Linked DNA regions of Alligator mississippiensis. The protein of the gene in region 4 interacts with the protein of the main gene of each other region in a pairwise test. Links are inferred from orthologs where the notes say so. Each region holds a gene or a part of one and is shown on either strand. Other genes may lie near its edges.

Region 1 (7,365 bases), on a different chromosome or scaffold from region 4:
CCTAGAATCGTGCACCAATGCAACATTCCCCTGACCTAGTCATGGCTTCACCTCCTGGCGCACACATCTTGCCCCTCTGCTGAGCCCTGCTTCAGCCCGCGCCTCCCCACTCAAAACCAAAGTCAATGCTCTGCCTTATTAAGTATTACAAAGAGGTTTAAGATGCAGCTACCTCTGGCCTCATATTTGCTACTACAGTCTCTTTTCCCTCTCTCTCTACTTAGCCCCTAGCAGTGATTTTGGAAAAGGTGATGATTTCACCAAATACCTTGACACAGATTTTGGAAGCATCTAATTATGAAGATGAATAGTACCCATAGCACTCGGTATGGTGAGGCATTGTAAATAAGATGTTACAGCAGTTTAGTGCATCTTTTAATGAGGGAGAAGGGAAAGAGGAGCCCTATATTAACCTTACTTAAAAGAAACCTGCATCTATTCCATCTAAATCTGGATTTTTATTGTCTGCTCCCTAGCTGCATGATTTACCTGCAATAAATCCAGAGTCATGGGCATACTTTTCAGCTCCTTCAGTAAATCCATTGCACCGTCCTACGAAGGAGAAAAGACATCTCTCGGTTACTAAAACTAGTGAGCCACTTCTGGTATCGCCAAAGACAAAACAAATCAATGCAACCCTTGAAAAATCACCTCACTGGAGCCAAAGCAAATAATATCCCTCCTTAGTACGTCAACCAACTAACCCTGGGCCTGATATTTTAGCCCCCACTATTCCAGTCCCCATCATACAGAGGGCTTAACGAAGGCACTAGAACGAAGCAAAGCAGAGACAAACATCTTTATGCAGAACATCCAGCCTGGCATACAAACACATTTGTATTGTGCCCTTATAACAAAAATTTCTGAGCAAGGATAACTTCATAACAATGCACTTACAAGGGTTGCTCCTTTAGCAAGTATTCTCTTCTGACCTTTTCCTGTAGCAATAATTCAGCAATGCTTGCCAAGCTATTGCATCAGAGGTTCTCAAAGCACTCTGCAACCACACATGTGGGATATAAAGCTGCTGTCCATTGCAGCACTTACGTCGCTTGTAGGACACAAAGCCTGAAGCAGCTGCTACCCGTAAACTGTCCCTTTGAGAGCCCTCCAAGCACAGCACCAAAGCAACAGCGAAGTCAGGGAGGTCACTTGGAAAACATCACATAAAACAGAGGTGGCCAATCTGTGGCATAAGTGCTACCAGTGGCACAGTCAGCTTACAGACTGGGGAGGGGGGCAGGCCACACAGCAGGGGATAGCACAGGCAGCAGAAAGCCAAGCAGCAGGTCGGGTATGAGAAGGGGATCAGAATGGCACTCGGGGAGGATGCAGGGCTTCATTCGCGGCACGCCTGCCAAAAATGTTGGCCCCACTGACATAAAGCAGTCACGTGTCAACTTTGTTGAGTCCAGAACACGCAGCTACCAGCTCCATCAGCCCGCACGCGCTTTAACCCCTGTTACAAACCATCACACACGGGAGGAACAGAGACATTAGCAATGCTTCGCTTCTGCAGCATCATCCTCCATGCAAAGCTACAGCCTGGAAGGTGTCAGTCTCCGCTCAGATTGCCGTCGTTTCCCATCCCCTTCCACGAGGGCAGGCCTTCTAGCGTTCACGTTTAACAGCTCATTCACAACACTAATCACTCCCGACCGACTTGCAACGCAAGACCTAGGCTGTGACTGCAGTGGTGTGGAGCAGCCTGCCTCCCTCTCCATGCTAAGTTTCCGATTCCTCTTGGGAAGAGCTCCAGCTGCCAGTGATCCTGCAGGACAGAGGCTGAGAGAGCTAAATCAAAGCGGAGTTGAGGCTTTCAAGGCACGCATATAAGGGCAAACCCTCCGGCAGAAGCCTTCCAGTTTGGCAAACCTCCGGCCCTTTCGTTCTTCCGGCATTCAGAGACAGGGGGTCAATTAAACCCGGCCTTCGCGTCGCACGCAGCGACCCGGTGCCTGGCCCCAAAAGGGGACTCTGCCATTCGCGCCGACGGCGGCAGACCGGGCCCCGGGACGCGTTGAAGACAGGAGCGCTTTTATGGGACGGGAAGAGCCGACGCAGAGCACGGAGGCCCCAGGGCAGGCTCCCAATGTACCGCGAGGCCTGTGACCGCAGCAACCCAAGGGGTTTCGTGGCCGCCAGATAGAGACTCCCTGCTCCGCGGGGCTTGGGAGGGCAGCACGGGGTCGCCAGGCAGGTGGAGGCCGGGGGGTCACCCCGGAGGGCAGCGGGGGACCGGCACGGGCACCCCAGTAAGATGGGGAGGGGATGGACCACGGGTGACCAGCAGGGGTTGCCATGGAGATGCAGTGAGAGGGAGGTACCCCAGGGAGGAGCAGGGGGTTGCCATGGGGGCACAAAGGATACCCCAGGGTGGTGGGTTGCCATGGAGACAGTGGGGGGTACCCCATGGAGAGACAGGGCTGCAAGGGGAGGACACCCCAGGGGTTGCCATGGAGACAGAGGTGTCCCCATGGTGGGGCTGGGCTCAGAGAGGTTGCCGTGGAGACACTGGGGGGTACCCCTTATGGGGCAGGGCTCAGGGGGAGCGGATAGTCCATGGGGGGGGACCCCAGGGGTTGCCATGGAGATAGCAGGGTATCCCATAATGGGACAGAGCTAAGGGGGCAGGGATAGCCCCCCAGGGGTTGCCATGGAGATGGCGGGGTACCCCCCATGGTGGGGCAGGGCTTAGGGGTCAGGGATAGCCCATGGGGGTTGCCATGGAGACAATAGGGAGTACCCCAGGGGCGCAGGGGTTGCCATGGAGATGAAGTGAGGGGAGGGGAGGTGCCATAGCTACCCCATGGGGGCTGGACCCCCCCCCCATGCCGCGACGGGGGAGGGCGACACCCCTGGGGGCCAGGTTGCCATGGAGACGCGGCCTGGACTCACCGCGCTCTTCTTGGCCACCATCTTATCGAGGCGCTTGGCGATTCGCACGATCTCCTCCTCCCCGCCCATGGCGCCGGGGCGCCGCGGGCCGCCTCCCCCCGCCCGAGCACCGGCCGGGCCCCCCCTCCACCACGCCGCCGCCGCCGCCGCCGCCGCCCTCCTCAGCGCGGCCCGGCCCGGCCTGCGGCGCGCGGGGCACGACGGGAGCCGCAGGCCGCCCGCCCCCCTGCAAACTACCGCTCCCAGCAGGCAGCGCGCCAGCCGCGGGGCACGCTGGGACGTGCGGCCCTCCGCCTGCCCACCCCGCGCTGTGCGGGCGGGGCCGGACTACAACTCCCAGCAGCCCGCGCGCCGGTGCCAGCCCAAGGGCGCTGCACCTAGTGCATCCCCAGCCCAGCCGAGCCCTGACCCCTTCTCTTCCCCCTCCATCTATTTCAGTGATGCTCAGCAGCACCCAGGGGAGCCTGGAGCTCCTTCCATGCCAGCCCCACGCTGCGGGCAAATGTGATTCACAAGAAAAACCCAGAGATTTCCACCCAGACCCCCTAGGCAGGGACTTTGCCACCAAGAAACATTTCTCTGATATTTGTCTGTAACCCAAACAAGCTCACAGCACCCAAAGGAGCCTTGCGCTCCTTCCATACCAGCCCCAACCTGCAGGCAAACATGATGATTCACAAGAAAAACCTGGAGACGTCCACCCAGACCTCCCCTCCCCTCCCCCGCGGGGTCTTTACCCCCAAGAAACATTTTTCTGATATTTTTCTGTAGCCCAAACCAGAGGGAGAACCACGAGCCGGCATTTCCCAAGCTGCCTCCCGGTTGAGAGCCCTCAATCGGTTTGGTTTTGGAGCAGAGATGCGGGGCCGGCTCTCGGAGGAGCCGGGGGGTTGTCGGACAAAACGAGCGGGTGGTCGGTTTGAAACTAAAAGGCGAGGAAGTTGGTTCCCACAAGAGTGGGACTCGTTGTCGCTGGATGTGGTGGGAGCTGGCAGTTCAGCCAGATGCACCCAGGGATCGCGCACCTTGGAGGAAAGGGGCATCCGTAGCTATGGAGCGCGGGAGTGCGGGGCACGGCCTCTGCATCCGAGCTTTAAATGCTGGGGGCTGCAAGGGAGAGAGGAACAGGGTGGGGGACACCCTGGTGAGACCCAGTTTGCTCTCCCTTTCACCTCCGCTCTCTGCCGCCGTGATGCAGGATGGGTCTGACCCAGTCCATAGCAATTCTTAATGTTCTTATAATCCTGGCTATAATCTCTCCGTCCTTTGCCAGGCTTTGCAAAGCAGAGTCAAGTCCAGGGCAAATTCTCTGCAAAGCAGGCAGCTGTTGTGGGGAAGGGTTCCCAGATGTTTAGGCTGGTGCGGGCTGCTTTGCCGCACAGATGCTGCCCTCCCCCAATAGAAATGATTATATTTTGGTTCCAGATGCCCAGGGTGGCGTTTGGGCTTTGTTGAGAGCCTGCCTAATTGCAGAGCAATCCTATACCTGGCTGGTGTGCAGCAGCCATGACCATGCATGGATGGGAAACAGATGCCAGAGAGCTCACCCACCTTGGACACAAACTGTTGTGCTGGGCTCAGCAGGCTCTAAAACTTCCAGATCCTGAACAAGTGCCAGGTGCCTTCTCCAGCTTTTGGTCTCAAGGGTCATTAGATCCAGGGGATCTAATGCTGACCCCTCATGCTCCCTCATAATTTAAGTGCATCCTCTTGCAGAACCCCAACCGTGTGAGTATCCTGGGATTTGTGTAACCTTTCAGGGACAAGCACACAGGCTTTGCAAAGAGGGTCCTGAAATCACCATCGTTCTTTACTTAGGAGATGGGCGTGAAGCATCTAGGTCATCAAGCCCAGTCACTTGCAAGCACGGGCACACGGGCAATAAACATTTGTGCAAAATGGGACAAAGAAACACCGGCTCCAGCCCTTCCCAAACACCTCAGCCACAGATAACAATGCTAGGCACTTTAGTCCCAATCTGTAGCATGCCAGAGGGAAAGAGAAGAGAGAAGAAAGGCACTGCCAATGCCTTGGGCCTCTACCACAGTAGGGATTTGTTAGGTAAAATGTCTAGGGGATGCTAAGGAGTGCACCATGCCCTGTGCTACAGAGGCAGGGAAACAGTGATCCTACAGGAAATTCTTCCCTATCCCCATATCTGGCAACCAGTTTGATCCTAAGTTCATAAGCAAGGCACCTGGAGGATATGCAGCATGCCTCAGGCAAACCTCCAACACTTCAGAGGAAGTTAGAAAACCCCAGCCATCAATCAATGCATTCATGTAGGAGGAGGGCAGCAAAGGGGCAACTAAATGGGAGATGACATTCAGCAGAGGTAAGCGTAAAGTGATGCACATGGGCAAAAATAGCCCAACCTACATCTACACGCTGATGGGCTCTACATGAGCCATTACCACACAGGAAAGAGATCTGGGAGTCATCCTGGGCAGTTCACTAAGAACATCAGCTCAGTGCTCAGAAGCGGCAAACAAAAATATTAGGGAGTATTAGGAAGAGAATTGTAAGCTAAATGCAAAGTATCACTATACCCCTTTATAAATCCATGGTGTGCCCACAGCTTGAACACTCAGCCCTTTTTTAGTCCCCATGCCTCAAAAAGGGTATAGAAGAACTAGAGAAGGTCCACAGAAGAGCAAAAGGATAACGAGTGGTATGGAGGGGCTCCCATATGAGGAGCAACTAAAGAGGCCAGGCCTATTCAGGTGGGATGAGACGCTGGAGGGGGGAACATAATGAGGGTTTACAAAATACTAAAAATGGTGACGAGAACATAAATAGGGAGTCATTACTTATTATCCCTCTCAGTACAAGAACTAGGAGTCGTATCTAGTAGGCAGTAAGTTTAAAAACTACCAAAAGGAAGTGCTCTCAAAGCATGTAATTAAAGCGTGGAACTCGTTGGCATCCGATGCAGCGGACGCTGACAATGCAGCCAGATTCACAAAGGGCCTGGACACGTTCTTGGAGGAAAGAGGCATCAGTAGCTATTGAGCACAGGAGTTCAGGGAAAACCCTCTGAATCAAAACTTCCTGGACTTTAAAAGCTGGAGGCTGCAAGTGGGAGAGGAATGGGAGGAAAACCCTGATCACACCCTGTTCGTTCTGCCTTTCAGCATCCAGTCTCTGCCAGTCTGGAGATTGGGCAAGACGGACCTATTGCCTGACCCTGTAAACGATAGTTCTTATGTCTTCCTGGCCCCTACAAGCGATCAGCAAAAACCCTGAAGCATGTGAAGGAATACACCGCCCTATGGTGCAGTGGGTATTGAGGGCACGTGAATTCTTCCAGAGGAAGGAGAAGGGCCTTGTCAAGTACCACCCTGAAGCGCCAAGCTCCTTGCCCCACTGCCTTGTTCAAGAAGCTGTCCCAAAACCTTGTTCCTCTGATGGTGGGAAGCCTCCTTTTCACTTCCAATGTAAATGCATCTGTGTGCCCAGTTTCTATTCAGCTGATCTTACATAGCTGCTGTCCCTTTAACTGTAGTCACTCTTCCCTGGGATTCATCCCTGAATGCATTTATGGAGGGGTCACATCCCCTCTCACCCTCTGTTTCACTGGGATCAATGAGCCAAACTCATTAAATCTCTTCTCTTGGGACAGGTTCTCCATTCCCCTCATCTCCCCACCAGGCACAAAGTCCCGTTTCAACTCATTTTGTGTTAATCGTGGTGATCAGAATGGCAGCAAGATGCTAAATGAGGCCTCCCCGGTGCCTGGCATTGTGGCATTAATGTTTCTAACTTTGCTTAGATTGCATTAGCCTCTTGTAGCTGCACCACAGGGATGGCACATGGTCATCCTGTGACTGACCGAGACGCCCAGCACTTCCCTTCCTCTGTTGCTCCAGTGAGCCCCTGGATTTACAGCAAGAGTCCTGACTTCAGTCCCTGAATGCAGACTGCATGTTGTACTACCCAACTCCATAGCATTGCTATCCCTCCAGTCTGCTGCTGAAGTATTCCTGTAAAATCACCCTGTCTTTGCCTTCCTCCAGCCTGTCATTGTGTAGTAAGGGAATGCAATGAAAATCTGGAACAGCACGGGGCTCAAAGTGGATGTGAAGAGCTCTCTCTGCATAGAGCATGCCCCAAACTGACTAATTCCCTGCAGTCCCTTGCTACTGGAATTGCCCTTTCATGTGCCAGTTGTTTGGATAATCCCAGGGTTGGGATAACTGAGTCTCTCCATTTTATCCCAGTTGTGCTTTTCTCTCAGGTCTACTAGTTGCCATTACCCTGTCCACACACTCCTATGACATTCCCTACAATTGCCTTCCTATGCATCCTCTTCCTTATTAGACATGCAGGTGTGTTCATGTAAGTATGTAGCATGTTGGGGTTATATCTAGATCATATCCCTAATCCCACTTTGAATGCCCGGTGGCACCACTTCTTCCCTCCTAATGCTCTATTCCTGTGCCTGAAAAGCCCTTTGCCGGCCATGTA
Region 2 (7,324 bases), on a different chromosome or scaffold from region 4:
AGAATGCAGAGACCATGTTATGGAAGGCTTGGTCAATGCTTGACTCTCTCTGTGAAGAGATAAAAATGGGATTTGGAAATCAAATAAGCCTGGTGCCTTCCATGCAACTGAAGGGAAATCATATGCAAACACAGCAATTGTGTGGAAGGCTCTCAGACTGAGGAGCACCACAAGCCCCAGGGCAAGTAAAGGTATCACTCACTGGGCAGGTTAACTCCTGCGCAACAGGAGCCCCTGTTAATAGTCTCAAATGTCACCTACTCTGGTAGCAGAGACACTGACCATTCCAAATATTGTACACAGGTATTACTGCACCCCTAGCACTGTACAGAGGTATTACTCCTGACCCATTTTACAAGGGCACCACCCCAGGGTTTGGATTTGAGCTCCCCTCCTATTGGCACAGCAGGCAGCAGGGCTAAATGTGGCTCCCGCATGGCAGAGGTAGGGAGCACTTGGGAACCCCTTAGTTCACACCTCTGGCATCTGCAAATGAACTGGGATGTCAACACACGCCCACACCCTGCTAGTTGCTCAGGAGCAGGTCGAACAACTCTAGCTTGATATCTGGCTTCCTGCAGGCTTCAAGTCACATGCTCCATAACAGAAAACACCTCCTAGATTTCAAAGATCCCAGGCCTCATGTGCCCTGAGACTTGAGTGTATGCCCTGCAGCCCACGCAGTGCTCTGGCACATACAATAGGTCCAGTTAGGACACACACAGTAGGTCCAGTAGCTTTGCAGCTGCTTGTCATGAAACTGATGGGGAAGGAGGATCCAGTCTGACAGGATCCAGATTGAAGAACCCACAATAGTTGCCTCCATCCTAGATCTCCCTTTCATGTTGCACCAATTACCCTCCCTATATAATATGATGGCTCCCTCCTTTTTCACTAGTGACACATCCCTGCTAGCAGCTGCAAACCTGCTGAACCTGCTCTTAGAAAGAGGCTTGCCTTACCTGACTTCCTCCTTGGGTTGTTGCTGGGCCCTCTGAGCAAGGATCTGATCACAGATCATGTCATATGGCTTATCCAACATGTGCTCACCCATGACCCAGACCCAGACTTCACTGTCTGCTCCGAGCTTCCACTTCACCGACTTCCCCTTGGCTGCAAGACAAGCATTCATGTGGCTGGGCAGGGTGAACGGCAACCTCAGGGGCTGCTCTAGCTCTTTCCTTCCATGCCCTCCCTTCCTCCAGGCAGCTGGTGGGACTTTTGGGTAAAGCAGGTTGGTCTGGGAGGCAGCAAGGAGCACAGGTTATGGGTGAAGCTGCTAGCAATTTGACATGCCACATATATTTGTAGAACAATATCTCCCTCAACCGGAGTATTGGCTGGACCAGATTCCCACACTTTGCCCCATAGCTGTGTAGCAAGCAACTGCACTGAGGTTGGTGGGATTCTGTATTACATCATGGTTATGAGGGAGACCAAAGCCATTTTTCCCAACTGAGGGCCCCTTCCCTTGCTCCAACCCACACCATGTATTATTCCCTTTTCTTGGGGATGTTGTAAGGGAGCTCAGCTACCTGCCTATTCTGTTAAACTCCCTGTAATTCATTGAACCATGTTTCAATGAAAGACATGGCTGGGGACACTGCCTGGAGGAACAAAGGTGGTTCCTCAGCAGTGGAGACCAGTCTTTGCTGCTCCATGCTTCCTCTTTGGCCCTAAGGTTAATGGCGTGGGAGAAAGGAATGGCAGGGACTCCTATGCCTAACAGAGCAATGTGGTTGCTAGTGAAAATCCCAGCATGGCCTCAGGTCTGGAACCACCTTAATGCTATGTGACCTCTCGCTGGCTGTGAGGGTCATGCTGTTGCCTGCTTGCTGATATAGCCAGCCCAGACAGGGCTTTCTGCATGCCTCTCCAACAGGACTTGCCAACACGGCATGGACTGGGCTGCTGAAAAACAAGTGTATGCACCCAGAAGAGAAGTATTTGAAATATCTCAGTCCATTTAGCTGCACGGTCCAAAGGCCCATACTGCTTCAGCCTTGGTCTTGCTGAATGGGTGCTTGAGCAGCTATTTGGAGAATCTAGAGACCCCATCAGGCTGGGAACTATACATACACACAGCTCCTGTACCAAAAAGCTTACAGTCTGCATGGATGAGACAGACAATTATTCCCATTTTTTAAGGCAGGGAAATGGAAGGGGTTTGACCAAGGTCAGTCTTGGAAGCCAACCCCACCTTGCCTGAGCCAGAAACCAAGGTTTGAACCCAAACCGCACCTGTGATGGCAGGAAACTGTATTTATAACCATTTCCAGCTGTGCTTCCCTAACCAAAGCAATATCTCTTTAGAAATGCTTTTCACCCGGCTGCAAAGCACCCATTGAAGCAGCTTTGTTTGTCAGGGAGGGAAATGAGAGCTGGAATCTGCTTCTGGGCAGAGTCTTACCTTTCCTTGGTGCAGGTTTTTTTGTTGAGCTCTTGCCTGTGGCAGTTTCTCTTTCCTTCCACCGTCTGACCTGTTCTTGCCTCATCTTGAAGAAGAGGATCTGTTTCTGTTCCTCACTGAGCTCTGCCAGCAGGTCAGGATCAACGTACATATCTGCCAAAATCTGTTTCAGCATGGCTGTGTCTCTCAGGTATTCACACTGGTAGCAATGAGTTTTAAAGATGAGGTTCTCTTTTGTCACTCAGGTATGCCTGGGCCCGCAAGTCGCTGCACACACTGATCGCACAGCAAGAATGCAGGCTTCCTATGGTAATTATATTCCCGTCTCTGCACCTATTTTAGCTCAGACTTCCTGCACAGATGCCAGAAAAGTAAATAAACAGCTTCCAACCTGTTATTAGAATTCCCCGTCTCCTTGGTCTTTCAGGGACAAATTGGTATAGACTTTGCTCATAGTGAGAAAACCATGTTTGCACCCTGATAATCTCATCTGATACTGTATCAAAAAAAAACGCTCCATGTATAACAAAGTCAGAGGTGTGGCTTATTTCTGGGTAGGCAAACATACCATTGCTCAAGAGGCCAATGAACCTGTGGGTCTTCAGCTAGGAAACTCCCTGCTCCCTCCCACACACCTTTTGAAAAAAAAGAAACCACTGAGAATGCACCATACAAGGCTAAAAGGTCGACATGCCCCATTTTATCTAAGCAAGCACAGAGTGGGAGGAACAGTGATTTTTGGCCTCCCCACCCACAGAATCTCAAGTTACAGTGCACTATCCCCAATACAGCATAAGAGGCAGGGCAATTTGTTCAAAGCCACTAGAGCTGGAAGTAGCTATAGGCTGACAAGAGCTGAGAAGGTCCAGGGGTGATATTTTTATTGGTGTGAAAAATGTTGCTCATCTCCCTTGCGTAGTACCTCCAAACCATGGAAGGAGATAAACAGGAAGGAGGGGGAAACCCTCCATAGGCAAGGACATATCTCCACAAATAGAAGTATGGTACTATGATCTGGGATGAGGAACTGGTTATAAAATACTGGTGTGTACATGAGGGGTCCTTCTCAAGCAAACTGGAAATACTCAACTATTCCTAGTGAAAGTCTTCACCTGCTCTCCCTTGAGTTTCCACTCAGTCTGCTCCACAATTAGGTTTGGCTGTAGTTGCCACATCTCAAAGCTGTTTCTGATGCCTGAACTTTTAGAAATCAAATGCAAGTCAGCCTCAGAGTCCATTAGACCAGCCTGTGCACTGCTTTCTTTGTCCTGGACTTAAGGGCTAGGGACAGACATTATACATAAACTGGTATAAGTGATTGGAAACTGGTTTAAACCTGTAACAGAACAGAAGTTCAGTGCACATAGAACAGCTTCAAAATGGTCAAAACTAGTTTAAGAGAGGCCTGGATGGATGTAATATCAGACTTAACTGATTCAGGTTAAACCCATCTATTGAACTTCTGTCCCAGATCCCCTCTGGACATAAGTTAGGTCTCAGTCCACCGGCATCCCAGGATGTATTCCAGCCCTCACTAACACCCCCTGCTGATTGGGTAGGCTAACCTCTGCCCCAACTTGTCTGCTCCTGGCCAGCTGGGAGGCCGCCCGCAGCTGTCACAGAGCTTAGGCAGTCTCCCCAGCCCCACTGGTAGTGGCAAAGGGTTGGGGATTGGGGCGGGGGAGGGGAGGGGAATGTACCCCTGCCCCAGCCCCAGCTCCCTCCAACCAGGGACTGCACAGCGGGTGTGGAAGGGGTGGGAAAACCTCTGAGGTGGGGGCTTTTCTCCCTTACAGCACAGTTCTGCTAGGCTCTGAGTGCCCCAGCTCCAGCCCTGCCCCATAACCAGTCCCCAACTTGTCAGCCGTGGGGGAGTGGGTGAGGGGGAATGGACCCTCAGCCAGGGTCTGCACATTGCGGAGGGGGAAGGCAAACTAAAATTAAGCTTTTCTTGCAATTTCTGGTGTTTTCATTCTTTCCATTAAACTATTTACATTTCTAAACAAAAGATCCTTTCAAAATCAAAGATTTGCATTTTGAAAATGTGATAGTAAAGCATTGTGGGTTTCTCAAAATTCTTTTTTGCCATTTTTTTTTCAGCCAAAACTATTTGCTTAATTTGACCCACATGTATGAATCATTTCACAGCCAGGACCTGAAACTGCAGATAAGCTATTTGGTCAAAAAAAAAGAGTTCATCCAGCTCTAGAAATGAATCTCTTAATTTTCCCATTCATCTGTTAGCAATGTGGGATTTGGGCACAAGTTCTCTGGCAATGTAAGTGGCAGATACAGTCTAAGGCTCCCAAAGATTTTGCCATTGCTTTTCCAAAGAGGGGCTTTGCCAACTAAGCGTGAGACAATTGATCAAGAGTTGAATGGAACCCAAGTGTCTTGAGCAAGACCTATCTCAAGAAGCCCTGAAGGTGGAAGTAAAAACTGTAATACCTCTCTTTTATTAACTTAGAGTTCTGGGATATTTGCCTGCTTGCAACCAGCCCAGAGATGTACAGTAGGACAGTACAAGTGTGTTTGGACCATACTCTACAGTCTCTTGGATCATAACCATCCTCAAATAACCCCTGCCATCTTTTCTTGCTAGGATGAAGCAAAATAGGACTGTAGGAATATACTGACCTTGAAAACCTAGTATAGGCCAAGAGCATGTATGTGAAGCTAGTGATTCAGGAGCCTTATCAGTTTGCACTGCTGCTACCCATCTCCAGCCAGCCTGTCTGGGGCAGCATTCCTCTTGTTATCTGGTTCGCCTCAGTACAGGGGCAGGTGACTGTGCTCAGAGGCTGCTGCCCATATTGTAAAGGCTGTGCACATCTGCAGGGGTAATCATTTTTTGTCCAGCCTGCTTTTTCATGCATTCATAGATACAAATGCCAGAAGGGATCATATGTACAGCCAGTCTGGCTTCCTATGGGAAAATTAATAAAACCATTTCTGCAATTAGCTCACACCTTCTCCCGTGAACTTGACTGCATCTTGAGGGAAGAAGTCTAGTCCTATTTGCAAGACTTCAAGTGATGAAGGCTCCACCACATCCATTAATATACACTGTGCAGCCACATGGTTGGCTGCTTATTACTTGCATGGTTAAAAGTCTGAACTCCCCAGTTTGATGTTCTGTAGCCAAAGACCTTTGGTAGTGCTGTTGTGATTTGGCTGGTTGACCTTTGGTGGGCTAGCATAGCTGAGAGGAACTGGTTAAGGCTAAATAAAAAACATTAAAAAGGCCGGAGGCAGAATTGATCTGTTACATGGTTTTCTATAAGTGGTGTAGTTTAGATTAGTTGTAAACACAATGCGCATTTGCCTTTTGGTGGGAGGGGGAGGCGGGAGCGAATCTTAGACTGAGTTCTGCCATTTTTAAACCAGTCTATGCGTGCCAAACATCTAACCTGTTACAAGTATAGACCAGTTTTGTGTGCTGAACTTTTGTTCTGTTATGGGTATAGACTGGTTTCTGATCACTTATACTGGTAAAGGTGTAATGTCTGTACCTGGCCTAAAAGTGCCAGCAAATATTTTGCTATTTGAGGGAGGATCAAGCCCCTTGGGCATAGGTCAGAAGGCTCAGTGAGACATACTGAGACACCTGTAGGCACCAGCTATCCAGAATACAGGAATAAGCAAGATCAGCATTGATGAAAGAACATTTTAAGACTAGATATCAGGTCAGCTCATTCCACATCTAGTGACAGTAGTGCTTGGTGCCATCTGGGTAGGTTTGTTGAAAGGTCAGAATAAAGCGTTTCCTGGCAATCCTAAGGAAGGCAGACTACAAGATCCTGTGGTACACTGCGTCCTTAACTCCGGCCTTAAAAAGGGCTCAGACATACAATGTGCTTACACTTGTAACCCTGCTTATGTAATATATGCTTTCTTATGGTTATGACTGTTATGGCAACTTTGTGTATTCTTTCTCTGCATATCCTGATTAGTATGCATGTTTGGAGGTTTGGGGGCTACTTGTACCTGATTTTACAGACCTATCTCCCACAATCACAGGAACGTGTCTGGGTGAGAGGAGAAAGCCCAACCTTCCCCATTCAGGGAGACCCATCCCCTATAATCAAAGGAGTATATCAGGAGCTAGACAAGGGCCAACATGTGTTTTGCCCGATGAAGTGAATCTGCTGTGCTGCAACACATTGTGGCACAACAGATCTGCTTCATTCAGTGACATCAATTTCTAGCCTAAGATTCATGATATCTTTAGTTCTCCATGATTACTTAGCATTATATTTTTTTTTACCCCTAATACGGATGTGGCAGTTGTGCATATTTCAATCTTAACCATCCTCCAGTTTCCTCTATGGTGTTTTTCTTTGGGCACACCCATAAATGAAGCAAGTTATTCTTCTTTTGTAACATACTGTTCTCATGTTTATTTCTATTTGACTCCACTCACAACCATGTATAATAGTTTCTTATAATAGTTACAATAACTATTGCGCTTTGCTGAGATGAACATTGAATTCACAGGACCTTATAACAAAATATATTTGACGACTGCATACAGTCTTCTTGATTTCTTGAACTTTTCCAGGGGCACCAGGCTTAGCTCTTCTGAGCTAAATTTAACTCCTGATGTACCCTGTCCCTCAATTTTTTTCTTTTTTTGAAAATTTAGCCCTGGAGGGAGGGAGAAGTGAACTCATTTACATTTCCAATAGATGAAGATTATTTTGAATGGGAATCTGCAGCATGACTGGACAAGTTTCATTTGTTGCCTCCAATAAAGCAGTGGAGTATCTAGACTATTATCCAACTACCCCCTTTCCCAGCAATTTCAAAGAGGGTGTGGGGGAGAGTCCTGTAGAAGCAGATGAGACTTTGTGGGCTCTCACCCTTAATCACTGACCAGTGTGGATGTCAGGGCTAGAGAGAGGACACAAGGAG
Region 3 (7,166 bases), on a different chromosome or scaffold from region 4:
ATTACTTACATCACCACAGCAGATCTTCCAAAATACAACAGTCAGGCATTCAAATACTGATTGTTAATTTCCAGTGATAACAGATTTACTTAATAACAACACAGAAATAAGCAATAAAGATACAGCTTTTGGGGGGCCTATTTGTTGGCTAATATCATATGCTTATTATCACCAGGCACTTAAATAATACTCTAAATGTGTAATTAGCTAATGATCATTATACTCATGTTCACATCTTCCTATGTAATCATGTCCTAATAGGTTCTCAATCATTTTTTAGTTCTTTTTGGGAGATTTTCCATTTAAGAAAGAGTGTTTGTCAACAGATGCTAATTTACAGAAGAACTCCAGCCCAGGTCTAATTCAACTCACAGAGGGCTCTAATCTTCTGACTATTCTGTTTAGACTTCACTATTACTCAGTATTGCTATTCTTCATAGGCTAATCAAAGGCTAACTTTTGGAAGGCCCGTATTGCAAATGTAGTCAAAAAGATTATATTTTTCACTTCTAGAATTCTACAGTTTACTCACCCAGTGGTTGAAATGGTAAGGTATAGTACTCTGAATATATAGTGAATCATAAAAATATTCCAGCGTAGTGCTATGGTAAGGTAGGTTTGGTCTTTTAAAGTAAAATCATATTTTATTACATAAATTTGGTTGAGATTTACAAAGCTGACTAGGGGGTTTAGCCACACAAATCCCACAATAATAAAAGAGTTGGGCAGTTAATTCCCCCATGAGCTTAGAAAATCTCCAACTTAAGTTACAGTCATACACTGTATTTTTAATACAGACCTGACCCAGATCAAGCTCATTTTTGCAGAAAGTATACATTTTTAACCTGCTAATTTGACTTAAATCTCAAATACCAGTATTCAAACTCAATTTCAATATCTCCCTTTATAATGCCCATATCCTGTGCAAAATTTCCACTGACTTCCACATTGTAATGGAAAGATCAACCTTTAAAGGTATTTGTAGGTTCAGAAGAAAGGGTTTTCAGAGGTCAAAGATGATGGCTATATTGGTAGTACACCCATGTACCCATAGAACCATACCTTTGACCTAATAGGGGAAGATGATCACATGTCAGAAAGTTAGAAAAATAATGCATGGGAACCAGTGCCTGTTTGAAAGCTTTAAACAGTGAATGGAAGTCTTTATATCTCTGAAAGTTCATCCAACATACATTCACTGCAGAGAATTAAGCAGCGAATAGTCAGAATCTCCTCTGCAGTGGGTGATTAGTCTCTCCTCTGTTTTCCTCCCTTCTACCACACCACTACTGATTTCCATGGCAGATGCAAACAACTGCCTCCTGGGTACCACTTTAGAAAGTACAGCTCAGTTGAAATCAAGGCCCGCATTACAGTTACTGGGGTGCAGAAGTAGAAGAGTATTCAGGCTTATTCACACAACAGGTGGAGTTACTTCCCTTGGATGAGAGCATGAACATAAGGGAGACAAATTTTCTGGCATGAGGCAGCAATCCTAAAGCTAACAAACAGGATTTTATAATTTCATCTCAGGTGCAACCAAGCAAACTAATTTTTTTGTCATTAAATCAGACAGTAATGAAGACCCATGGTAGAGCTCTACCCACTTACACAATATCTAACAGCAAGGGGACTATGATGAAGTAATACTTAAATGGGTATTAAATGTAACAGCAGATCCAGTTAACAATAGTTGACTTTGTGAACTCCAATACACTTACAGTTCATAACATGAAATAACTTTAACTGATACAAGGGCTTTCACACCACCCTCTTTGATAATGTTTTTCACTCTTTGACCCATCACCTTGTTTCCAATTCTGAGATGTCCCTTTTACACTCAGTTCCTAACCCACTGCCTATTCTATAGATCAGGGGTATCAAATGTATGGACTGCAGCCCAGATCCAGCCCAAAGGATGGGCAGAGTGAGTCTGACACTATAAACCCATCATTTCTTTGATGACTCCTGTTCTCTGTGCAACCACTTTTTTCTCACTCTTATATATTGCCTCTTCTGTTTGTTTCCTTTCCTTCCTTTTTCAGGGGTGATCTGATTACCCATCCCACAAAAGAGTGCATTCCCCCTTCTCTAAGTTTCACTCTCATTTGTCTAATTCCTCCGCTCTGTTAAAACAGTAAGTACTAAAACTTTCAACTCTAAATACCTCTCTTCTCGGTTCTCAATCTGCAACACAAAAGGTCAGAGCGCTACGTTTGGCTTCGTTTGTACAGATGTTCCGCGCTGCCATTATTCATTCTATCACATCGGAATTATCGATTCATCGGCCAGCGCGGCGCCTTGCTGCAGACTCCCTTCTTGTTCCTTAAACAGAAATTGACTGTTCTTTTCTATGGGAATGCATCTCCGCAATTTAATTACAGTACGATGCTCTTCTCGCGTCTACTGAAAACCAAAAATGGGAAATAACGGAAAACAGAGCGGGAGAGGAAAGCCTACCTGAGGGAGCTGTCCCAAGTAGTAGAGGGTGAGTTTCTTTGGTTCTAGGTAGAGCATTTCCCCGAGCTCCTGGTAGGGTTTCCAGCTGGGGGTCCAGTAGCCTTGCCGAGTGAGCTGCTGGTGCCGTCGGTGGTAGTTCTCCCAGAACACGTCCTCCCGCCTGGGCTCCCAGCGCCGGTACGCGGTGCTGCTCCTGGCCCGCACCTTTACGCCTTTCTGCGTGGGATTGGGCAGCGGCTTGATGAGCACGAAATAGCGAGGGTCCAGCGTCTTCGTGTTCCCAGGCATCCTGCCCCTGCTGCTCATCGGCTCCTCGCCCTCTCCCTAACGCTGCAGGCGGGTCGGGGCCCCTCAGCGCCACAACAGGGGGCTGCGGCCTGGCCCCTGGGCTGAACCCAACACAGGAGCCTGCCTCTGCGCAGCACTGCCAAGGGCACGGGTCAGGCCTGGACCAGGCTGTGCGGCCCAGGGTGCCCCTGGCACGGGCCTGCACCAGCTCGCGCCTGCATGTGTACAGGCCTGGGCAGGGGGGCCGCGCCGGGCCGGGCCGCTCCGCTCCCCTCCCCTCCCGCCGCCGCCGCGTCCTGCGTTGCCCGGCAACCCGCCCCGCCCCGCCCCGCCCCGCCCCGCGCCGCGCCCGAGTGGTGTGGGGCGGCGGCGGCGGCGGCGGCGGCTGCCCGCGGGCCGGCCGGGGAGGTTGCTGGGCCCCAGCCGCAGGCCCGCGGGACACGTCCAAGCCGCCGCGTTTGAGAGAGCTTGACTTGGGCCCTTGGGGCGATGATCTGTTCATCTCCCCAGGACGGGGGGAAAGGCGGAGGGACCGGTGCAGAGCGGTGTTTGTCGGGTTGCTTCTGCGCCCGTCGGCTCCCGTTTTACAGACGGGAAAGCTGAGGCCCAGGCAGGTGGAGCCGCTTGCTGGAAGTGACACCAGGCCTGATCTTGCTCCCGCTGAAGACAGGAAGCCTCTTGATTTTGCTAGCGTAAGGCCCGGCTACAATTGCCAGCAGAGCAAGATTATTACTCGAGTCTCTTGCCTCCCAAGCTCTGCTTCAACCGCTATGCCAGCGGTTCCCCATCTGTGGTACGGGCAGGGCCGTCCCCAGGGCACGGCGAATCGGGGCGACTGCCCCGGGCCCGTGGAGCTGGGTGGAGCGGCCGCAGGGTCTGGTGCTGGTGGCTCCCCCTGTTTCTCGGGAGAAGCACGGAGACTCCCCCTCCTCGGGCGCGGGGGAGACCCCAGACCATGCCCTGCTTTTGAGGGGGGTCCCACAGGCCCTGCCCGGTGTTAAGGGGGCCCCGCACAGGCTGATTTGCCCTGGACCCCAAAACCCACTAGGGTCGGCTTTGGGTACAGGTACCACCAGTGGTACGCAGGCAACCTGTCAGTGGTACGGGTTAACAGATCTATTATAATAACTGTATATGACAAAAATTTGCGGGTGGTATTTAAGGTTGTATCATTTTAAATTGGTGGTGCGCAATCTGTCAGACTTTGGGAACCGCTGCACTAGACAATGCCTTGATAAACAGCTTGGTGCCCTCACTACATTTCCAGTAAAACATTTCAAACATCACTCAGATCATGGCAAACAGGGTATAAATGTCGGCAAACAAAAATTCAAAATGAATGCCCTGCTGTATCTTTTCTGCTCTACAATACAAGCAATACCAGCAGGAAGACCTGGGTATCTGAAGTATATGGCTTCCACCAAGAAAGTTGTATCTCATCAAAAATGCTCCAAAACATTTACATTCTCTTAAGAAAAAAGAAAACCTCTTAAAGGATTTTATTAATAAGTACATCATTCATTTTCCAAACCCAGCCTCAAATATTGAAAAAATACAGCACTCCCATTTATTGTCTTTTCATTTAAATGTTCTGTCAGGAAAAAAAAAAAAGATTCAGTAGCTAGGATACAAAACTATTTTGCCAAAGGCCAAGATGCAGTGATCTTCCCTAGTACAGCTTTAAATCATTTACCAAACTTTCCTTGCTAGAGATCTAAATCTATAAAACAGAAGTAGATAAATACAAAAACAAACTCTTCCATATTCTTCCCCCATCACCCAGACTGCATCCCAAAATTGCTGCCTCTTTCTGTAACAATATTTCTGGGACCTGACCTTTTCTAACGCACAGCAAGCAAGGGACTGTTTACAAGCTATTCAGGCCTGAAGCCTAGAGGTCTGGAAAGGAACAGCAGTTGTCCTACTTTTCCAGGTGTGGATTTATTTTCCCAATGGCATTTAAATTCAACTGTGAGCATCTAAAGGCATTGCTTTGCATTCTGCTTGTTTGGTTGTAGATGACTGTGCCGCATTTCTGGTTTTTCCTTTTTCATTTTCTTTGATTGTTGTATTCCCAATTGTCACTTGCTCTAATATATTTGGTTCTACACTGGCACAAATATAAATTAAAATGTCCTTGCCAGTAGCAGACCTACGAGTCAAATCTAAGGCTAAGAACTAGAAGCAGTATGAAACCGACTTCCAAGCTTTGCCGCTTCCTAAATGATTCTGAAAAGTGGGAGACTTGTTAATTTCATTGGGTTGCTGTTTGCAGAGCTGTAACAGCAGGCTACACATTCGAGCTGTCAGTCTGCAGGGTTCTTTAAGATGAACCAGCACTGAGGATGCTTGGTTTGCTGATGGAAGTGTACATTTACATCCAGAAAGTTTTTCCCCCTTTTTCTTTGTTTTTGTTTCTTTAAAGAAAGGTTGAATGCTGCCAAAATTGACAGCTTAAACTCCCATATTTTCAAGAAAAAAAGCTTACTATTCTGCATTAGTAAGAGGGTGAGAGGGTTTTCTAAAACTTGATCTACTTTATATAAAATATGGAACAGAAGTATCGGAAATATTTTTCCCTACCAATTTAATTACATAGAGCTTAAAAACAGACTCACTCATCCAAAGAGGAATATCCTTTACCTTGCAATATATTAGCCAACAGCATGGATTGTCAGAATTTGGTAAACCATGATAATGCAGTCAGAATTTGTTTCTTGAGATGCGTGCATGTGTATATGAAGCATGTCCCATACTAAAAATCTCTATGAAATAGCTCATTTCCATGATTTTCTTAATACAAATTGCAACATCTCATTTACCAGAAGACTTTTATTCTGGGGATTTGACAGAAATGCCTGATCAACCAGCGTCATGCAAAAAAATTGGATTTTTAGAGCAGCCTTAATGTCTAAAAATTTGATTTTACATAAATACAATGATCCCTGTCCTTGAGAAATTGAAGCTTGATTGGTCTTAGTGATTTGTTTGCATTAGAACAAATCTCATATTTCATAAATCTGAACAGTGAAGCAAGGAAATATTCCAGAGTTCAACATCTAGCTCTGGCAATGTTTTCTCTAGTAGCTGAGGGAGTATGTTATGTGCATTTCAAATAGCACTTAAACATCTATTATTTACTTGTTATTTTAATTTTTTTAATTAACACTGCTAATGTACCATTGACCAAAGGATTTATTTTGACTTCAACAGGAAGTCTACCCATCCAGTGCTCTGAATATGTATTTTGTGGTACAACGTATACATCTGCATCAGACTTTCTACAGAAACTTAAAAACATATACCACCTTCTCAGCAACACACTCCTAGCCACCATGGACGTCACCAGCCTATATACCAACATCCCACACCACGATGGCATCTAAGCCTGCCTTACATATCTACAGGAACAAGATTACAACTCAGAATACATACCCAAAGATATTACTGACCTTATACACTTCATCCTCACACACAACAATTTCACTTTTAATAATCAACACTTCCTCCAGATGGTGGGAACAGCTATGGGCACTAAAATGGCCCCACAGTATGCCAACCTTTTTATGAGCCACCTGGAAGAAGACTTCCTCAAGAACTGCACCATCAAACCCTTGCTGTACTTACGATACATCGATGACATCATCATTTGGACTGAAAACCTACAATCTCTGATTGAGTTCCATCAGAAATTCAACAATCACCATCCCTCCATCCAACTTTCTCTAGAATACTCCAGCACCAGCATCTCCTTTTTAGACATGATAATCAGTATCCAGAATGATAAAATACAGACCACGTTATACAAGAAATCCACAGACAAACATACATATCTGCACAGAACCAGCAATCACCCTAAACACAGCAAAAAAGCTGTGATATACAGCCAAGCCCTCAGATACCACCGCATTTGCACTGAATGAGAACACCCGGGATTGCCACCTCACCAATCTTAAAAAGGCTTTCACCCAGCAAGGACACTCCTCCAGAGAGAGAGATCGCACGTTTGAAAGAGCCACCTGGATACCACGTGAAGAACTGCTGCAGTACAGAAGAAACCCCCTCACAAATCGCACCTCGATGGTTATGACGTATCACCCCTCCTTTGAACCTGTACGAAAAATCCTCAAACAATTGCAACCCATACTAGAAAGAGACCCTATTCTTAAAAAGATCTTCCCAGAGCCACGCATCCTAGCCTTCAGACAAGCACCGAACCTCGCTAACCTCATCACCAGAAGCAAACTTCCTCAAGCCCAGAACACATTGAATGGATCCAGACCGCGCCATGACAAGAAATGCAAAACCTGCCAACACATCTCCACCACCCCCACTATTACTACACCCCACAACAGAGCCATCAGCATCCCAGGATCTTACAGCTGCACCTCCAGAAATGTAATATACCTCATCCAATG
Region 4 (7,206 bases):
AGGGGCATGACAAGTCTCTCACTGGGATTGTAGAGAGGCAACAGCAGGATGCCAGACTACCATGCGTAGACCCTGAGATGGTGCAGAGTCACTTGGAAGAACTGGATGCCTTTAAGTCGGCAGGCCCAGATGAGCTCCATCCGCGGGTGCTGAAGGCACTGGCCGACATCACTGCACAGCCACTAGCAGGAATATTTGAACGCTCGTGGCGCACAGGCCAAGTCCTGGAGGACTGGAAAAGGGCCAATGTGGTCCCCAATTTCAAGACGGGGAGGAAGGAGGACCCGGGCAACTATAGGCCAGTCAGTCTCACCTCCATCCTTGGCAAAGTCTTTGAAAAAATTATCAAGGCTCACATTTGCGAGAGCCCGGCAGGACAAATTATGCTGAGGGGAAACCAGCACGGGTTCGTAGCAGGCAGATCGTGCCTAACCAATCTAGTCTCTTTTTATGACCAGGTTACGAAATGCCTGGACACAGGAGGAGGGGTGGATGTCATATACTTAGACTTCAGGAAGGCCTTCAATACGGTATCCCACCCCATACTGGTGAACAAGTTAAGAGGCTGTGACTTGGATGACTACACAGTCCGGTGGGTGGCGAATTGGCTGGAGGGTCGCACCCAGAGAGTCGTGGTGGATGGGTCGGTTTTGACCTAGAAGGGTGTGGGCAGTGGGGTCCCGCAGGGCTCGGTCCTTGGACCGATACTCTTTAATGTCTGCATCAGCAACTTGGACAAAGGAGTGAAGTGTACTCTGTCCAAGTTTGCGGATGACACAAAGCTATGGGGAGAAGTGGACATGCCGGAGGGCAGGGAACAGCTGCAAGCAGACCTGGATAGGCTGGACAAGTGGGCAGAAAACAACAGAATGCAGTTCAACAAGGAGAAATGCAAAGTGCTGCACCTAGGGAGGAAAAATGTCCAGCACACCTACTGCCTAGGAAATGACCTGCTGGGTGGCACGGAAGTGGAAAGGGATCTTGGAATCCTAGTGGACTCCAAGATGAACATGAGTCGGCAGTGTGACGAAGCCATCAGAAAAGCTAATGGCACTTTATCGTGCATCAGCAGATGCATGATGAATAGATCCAAAGAGGCGATACTTCCCCTCTATCAGGCGCTGATCAGACCACAGTTGGAGTACTGCGTGCAATTCTGGGCACCACACTTCAAGAGGGATGCGGATAACCTGGAGAGGGTCCAGAGAAAGGCCACTCGTATGGTTAAGGGCTTGCAGGCCAAGCCCTATGAGGAGAGACTAGAGAACCTGGACCTTTTCAGCCTCCACAAGAGAAGGTTGAGAGGCAACTTTGTGGCTGCCTATAAATTCATCATGGGGGCACAGAAGGGAATTGGTGAGGTTTTCTTCACCAAGGCGCCCCCGGGGGTTACAAGAAATAATGGCCACAAGCTAGCAGAGAGCAGATTTAGACTGGACATTAGGAAGAACTTCTTCACAGTTGGAGTGGCCAAGGTCTGGAATGGGATCCCAAGGGAGGTGGTGCTGTCCCCTACCCTGGGGGTCTTCAAGAGGAGGTTGGATATGCATCTAGCTGGGGTCATCTAGACCCAGCACTCTTTCCTGCCTATGCATGGGGTCAGACTCGATGATCTATTGAGGTCCCTTCCGACCCTAACATCTATGAATCTGTGAATCTCTCATCCTGTCTTTTCAATACAGCATGTTTTATGAGTTGATTGGAACAATGGGTGCTGGCTCTGTACTAGTAAAAGAATAAACGCATTAATAACTTTGACATTGTATTGTAAACTGAACTTGAACTATGTAACTAAGACACACTATCCCACAGAGCTTACAGTCCTAGCCAGATAAAACAAGACACTGGGCAAGAGTTCAGACAGAGCAAAAATAAGGGAAGGTGTGGAGATTATTATTTGAATTTTTAAGAGGGGCTTAGGTCGATAGGGCTTTTTGGTGGTGTTTTGCATATTTAAGAAAAAACCTGAAGGGAGACAAGAATTGGAGAGTAGCCAGTCAAGCAGCAGAAAGCATTCCTCATTAGTAATATTTCCAAAAATGTTGTATTTGAAACCCTATTTAATTTTTCTTGACTCAAGTGTAGTAAAGCTTCTGCAAGAGAAAGAGGATGGACACACATTTTACTTTGGCATTCAGAAAGCTGGTACCTTGGGTCCATATAAAATAATCCACTACAGCTCAGTCATTTGTATGTACAGATGTCAACTTGCACTTATAACTATACTCATTACATGGGAAAAATAATATAAACATATTCATATAGCCATATTTAAATGGTGATGGTGTATGAAATACTTGACTAAATGTTCCTAGTTTTTCTGTGAAATTAGAAACTTGGAATTTTGAAAAGGGCTTGTGCAGTAGGCTCTAACCATAAGTTTTCTATGTCTCTAATCAAGAGATTACCCTAAAGCAGGGGTGCTCAACCTCCAGCTCTGGGACCAAATCTGGCCTGTTAGACTGGGCACATGAGGCTGATCCAGGCAGCATGAGGCCAAATAGGGGTTGATCTGGGTAGTATGGGACTGGATCCTGGTGCACAGGGCCTGATCTGGCCCACAGACAGGCCTCCTGCCACTCATCTGGCCTGTGGGGCCAAAAGCACTGCTGCCCCGAAGTTTAATAAACCCAGACTACTTTAGACCAGACGGAAGTGCCTGTTTCAAAGACAGTGGGATTTGTCACCCTTCTTGACATGTCAGGGCAGAATGGCTATTTCAGGGATTCCAGAAAGTGGTTGGCCAATTCTTGAGATCTGTCTGAAGTGATACAGTGTGCTTGTTCTTTTCCTTAAAGCGGTGATTCTCAACCGGGGTGTGCAGCACTTTTTTGGGGGGGGTTGAGATCCTTCAAGGGTGTTGCAGGGTCCCATGTAATGTTAGGTGTACAGACATGATTCTCAAGATAAACCCAGAGATTTCAAATAGGAATCCACACAGTTAAAACATTCTGACCTTTTATTATCTCTCTGTGTTCTTTGAAACAGGGGGACAAAAAGATCCTTTTTCCTTAGTCAAATGATGAGTGAAAACAAAGAGCTGGCATATTCTGAAGGGTGCTTTGAGTTGGGAGGGGTTGAGAACCACTGCCTTAGAACCCTGAACTCAGATGGTCACATATATCTCAGCTTCCAGGTCAAGAACAGAAATGCAGTACTCTAGAACTCTTGGTTCAGAGATGATACCTCCCATTAGACCAACTAAGAAATTACAAAAGAAATGATCTTTTTCTGCAAGCTCTTGGGCACACACACCGTTCCTCAGGCTCAGGGAAAACTAAAGATGGGGAAAAATCCCCATAAGTAAAGAAAAAGCATTGGGCATTGGCTGCGGCCAAGGCTGGGGATTGTGATGGCTTTTGCTGGCACTAAGTGGGAGGTTCCTGGCTAGAGGGTCTTGACCTTCAGCTTGGGGTCACATCGATCCTGGTATCCGGGGATGAAATTTTCCTCTCCTGACCGGTACCAACTGGGGGTGAGGTTTGTCTTCCTGTGGCGGGGGGATGTGGACGGTAAGACCTCGGGATCTCTCAAGCATGCATTAAGAAGCAGGATGTTGGCTCTCCTGCTTTCTCTGTGGCAAGTTGGGGTGCTGTGCCTTGGGTAGTGTCAGGGTTGAGGGCCGCTTCAGGAAGGGGCAGGCACCCTCCAAGAGCGTGGCGCTCGAAGACATGCCACGTGGCACGCGCCTCGGGGCGGTTGGTGGAGAAGGGCCTGGGGCCACACTGCCACGACAAAGATCGGGCCCCTCGTGGCTCCCCCATCTCATCTCATACAAGTCCAGGTCGCGGGTGCTTTCGGCCCCAACACGTCGCTGACCACGTGATGGTTACATTCTGCACTGGTCCAGGATGCTGGGGCAGGCGGGCCGGGGGCTGCCCTTCCCGCGGGTCTGTGTCAAGGCCCAGCCCAGGGAAGAGGTAGGCAGCAATGACAAGGCTCCGCAGCCTCCCTTTCCCCCTCCCCAACTTTGTCACTTGGGAATTTGTTTTTGTGGCCAGCCCTTCCCGTGGCACCTGGCCGCAGCCTGCCGGGCTCGGCGCCCCTGCGGCGCGCGCGGGGGCCGGCAGGGGGCGCTGCGGCTCCTGGCGGCGCGGAGGCAGCGGCGGGCGGCTGCTCCCCGAGCCTGTAGGGAGAGCTGCTGCCGTGCGCACGGGGCGGGGCGGGGCGGGGCGGGGCGTGCAGTGCGCGCGGCTCTCGGCAGCCGCGGCGTTTGGTGCTGGGGGCGGCGGAGGCGGCGACGGCGATAGCGGCTCCAGGTAGGGGCAGGGCGAAGTTGTCCGCGGGGCGCTGGTGTCGAAGCGGGTCCGAGGGGCCAGGGGTCCCTGCCGCCAGCCCAGGTGGGCGCTGCTGGGGGGGCCCCGCTGCCCGGGGTGTCTGCTCCCCCCGCGGGCCGTCCCGCGTGGCGCCTAGCGCCTCTCTCGAGGAATCGCCCACGATAACAAAGCGGCTTCTCTGAGTCAGAGGCTGTGAGTGGGGAGCTGTGGTGGGCATCCGATCCAGAGCCTGCCGCCCGTCCTCAGGTGCTTGCGCCGGGGTCTCAGCGAGGACAGGCAGGCCGGCTCGCTCCCTAGTGCGGGCACGGCGTGTGCCCACAGCGGGCTGTGTATCGGAAGCCGCCTTCCTGAAGGTAACCGGAGCGGGGAGAAGACCGTTTCTGTCGGCACCGAGCAGGCAGGTGGCTAATAATTTTGCTGAACTCGCTGCGTGAGCCAGGGGGTGGGATACGCTCGCAGCCCCCAGCTGACATGTCTCTGCTGGCACTATTTAGAAGCGTGGGCTTGGACAAAACGCTCGCGCTGGGAAGGGTTCAAGAGGTGTTTGTCCTTCGGGTCACTGTAACGGTAGGGATACGCCAGCACAGCTCTTGCAGCTCATTACGTGAAGGCTTTGAATGTTTATTAATGCCTATAGTTCAGCAAGTTGCGTATTAGCAATAGGTATTGATACTAGTGTAAGGGTAGCAAAATAAAGTGTGAAATACTTGTATACAGGTAAGATTTTTGCAATGGATAGGTGTATGATACAGGCACTTTTGAGACGCTCTGCGCTGAGCTGTAAAAGGATGTAGAAATGCCTTTTTTGTCTTTGTTTTTATTGTAAGTGTGTTATGTGTGTGAGGTTTTATACAGGGTTAGTTTTTGTGCCATTTGGATTTTTCATGTAGTTTCTATGTAGTATTTAATATTTAACTCTTATATTTTGGCTCTGTGTCAAATCTCTCCTTGTCAAACCTTTTTTTTTTTCTCTGATGATCAATATCTTTTAAAAACATCTGTATAAAGAGTTTGGTAGAGAGAGAAAAATCTTGACTGCATCTAGTGCAAAAAGGGAGGGGTTTTTTAAATGGCTAGATGTATCATAATTTTTTAGCTATTATTTAGTTCACTGCTTGTTGAAATATTTGTAGATTTGATTTTTGATAGATACAGCTTGTCTTTTTTGGATCTGTTGAGGAATGGGAGCACGTTCTGGTTACGGACTGAAATATTTTTTTAAAAACAGGTCAACAAAAGGAAGTCAGATTTTGATCATCATTTCTAATTTGTCTGTTTGGTTTATGGTGGGATTTTTTTGAGGTGAGATTTTTTTGCATGTCTTGCATTTGTTGTTTTGCTAATGGCACTTGTGGAGACTTTAATAATAAACATGACAGCTTCACAGGTGAAATGCTACTAGATATGCTCCAGAAGTTTTTTGTCAAATATTTCTCATGGTGCCAGCAATACCTGGTCTTTTTAATAAGATAAAGAAAGGGGGGCAGCTAATGTATAACTTAATATGGTTGATAGTAGAGGTTTGTTAAATAGCATTTGCCATGATATTTAGGAAGAAAGCAGCAGTTTCCTAGACTTTGTAAAAGCTCTTAACACTGTACATTACAGGAGGCTATTCAGGGACCTTGGTAACCATTCACTGAGAGGTAATTTTCTCAAGAAGTAAAGATCAGTTAAGAGATAAAAAGTGCGGAATGGGAGTTGAGGGCTGCTGATGATTTTTTTTTTTTTGGTTTGGGGTTAATAGAGGATGCCCCAGGGATTAGCTCTAGGACCAGAATTGTTGTTTCTAATGAAACTTAGTGACTGTCACATGATCGGACAAGCACAAAGTAATGCAGTTTGAAAGAGCTAATTTAAGCTACTCATACCCACTGATGGCTTTTGGACCTGCTATAACCTCTTAGGAAGAAAAGATCTAGGTGACATCTCAGTGAGAGTGTCAGCTAAGAGGGAGGCAGCAGCCAAAGGAGGAAAAAATGAATAGGTTTGCCAAGGAGAATGCTGAAAAATGCTCAGTTTTTCATGTGTTGTTCAAACATTTGTTAAATTACTATATTTGTAATGTTACTATCATCCTGCACACTGCAGTTAAGGTTATTAAACAGGATGTTTGTATCTGAAAAAGAAAAATAGCTGAGAAAAACAGTAGAAAGTTAATTGATTGATGGGAAAGAATTCTGTGCCTGGCTTCAGTTCTGCAAACTTATACTTGTGTAAGTAATGGGTTTTTTTAAAGCAAAGTAGTTCAGTTTGTTTTTAAGGTGTCTTAATACTGGTATCTTATTCTAATGCCTGTATTTCTATACGAATCTGTGGCAAAGAACTGAGACCTAAATACACTGAGGGATGTAGCTGTCCAGCTCCTGGAGTGGAATTCACAAACCTTCATTAAGTTCAGAGTTTATTATGGAGAGAAATAGATCCTTAAGGAGAGGATTTATGATAATTAGAGGTGCACAGATGCATCACAGTCTATATCATATCAGCACCAGTAAAAAGAACATTGACATTATCAGCATTTGACTTTTTTTGGCTGATGTGGCCAGTAATGGTGCTGATAAATGCTGTGTGCATGCACACAGCTGCAGCAATCATGTAGCCAGCCCAGCAACTTGGAGAGCAGCGTCCAGCTGGTAAGTCTGTTGGGGTAAAGGAGGGGAGGAAAGGGGGGTGTGTGTGTGTGTGTGGGGGGAGGGGGGATTGAGGCCCCCATCGTGAGGGAGGGGTGGGGCCGGGGCAGATGCTGCCTAGCTGGGGCAGGGCGCTGGACGGAGCTGCAAGTGGCTCGTCCAGGGGCTGTGGAGAGGGAGGGGGTGCCCCCCAGATGAGCCATTCCCTCCCTGCACCCCTTGGGTGAGCTGCTCTGTCCCATGCCCTGCCCCAGCTGGGCAATGCCAGCCCCAGTCCTCCTCCTCCCTCACTGTGG

The links.
Region 1: the proteins of MTUS2 (region 4) and TCEA2 interact in binary tests that used the Homo sapiens proteins (3 or more experiments, as listed by UniProt). The link is inferred for Alligator mississippiensis from reciprocal best matches to the Homo sapiens genes MTUS2 and TCEA2.
Region 2: the proteins of MTUS2 (region 4) and SH2D4A interact in binary tests that used the Homo sapiens proteins (3 or more experiments, as listed by UniProt). The two-hybrid records come from large-scale screens. The link is inferred for Alligator mississippiensis from reciprocal best matches to the Homo sapiens genes MTUS2 and SH2D4A.
Region 3: the proteins of MTUS2 (region 4) and CCDC60 interact in binary tests that used the Homo sapiens proteins (3 or more experiments, as listed by UniProt). The two-hybrid records come from large-scale screens. The link is inferred for Alligator mississippiensis from reciprocal best matches to the Homo sapiens genes MTUS2 and CCDC60.

The regions. Positions count from the first base shown.
Region 1 is NC_081832.1:3,006,883-3,014,247, reverse strand, and holds the start of TCEA2 (transcription elongation factor A protein 2), read right to left. Parts: upstream 3,009-7,365; 5' UTR 2,968-3,008; coding exon 2,899-2,967; intron 553-2,898; coding exon 490-552; intron 1-489. UniProt on the Homo sapiens protein: Necessary for efficient RNA polymerase II transcription elongation past template-encoded arresting sites.
Region 2 is NC_081825.1:132,233,196-132,240,519, reverse strand, and holds the start of SH2D4A (SH2 domain-containing protein 4A), read right to left. Parts: upstream 3,011-7,324; 5' UTR 2,586-3,010; coding exon 2,411-2,585; intron 1,114-2,410; coding exon 963-1,113; intron 50-962; coding exon 1-49. UniProt on the Homo sapiens protein: Inhibits estrogen-induced cell proliferation by competing with PLCG for binding to ESR1, blocking the effect of estrogen on PLCG and repressing estrogen-induced proliferation. May play a role in T-cell development and function.
Region 3 is NC_081833.1:21,831,694-21,838,859, forward strand, and holds the start of CCDC60 (coiled-coil domain-containing protein 60), read right to left. Parts: upstream 3,018-7,166; 5' UTR 2,767-3,017; coding exon 2,461-2,766; intron 1-2,460.
Region 4 is NC_081824.1:427,352,743-427,359,948, reverse strand, and holds the start of MTUS2 (microtubule-associated tumor suppressor candidate 2), read left to right. Parts: upstream 1-4,200; 5' UTR 4,201-4,259; intron 4,260-7,206. UniProt on the Homo sapiens protein: Binds microtubules. Together with MAPRE1 may target the microtubule depolymerase KIF2C to the plus-end of microtubules. May regulate the dynamics of microtubules at their growing distal tip.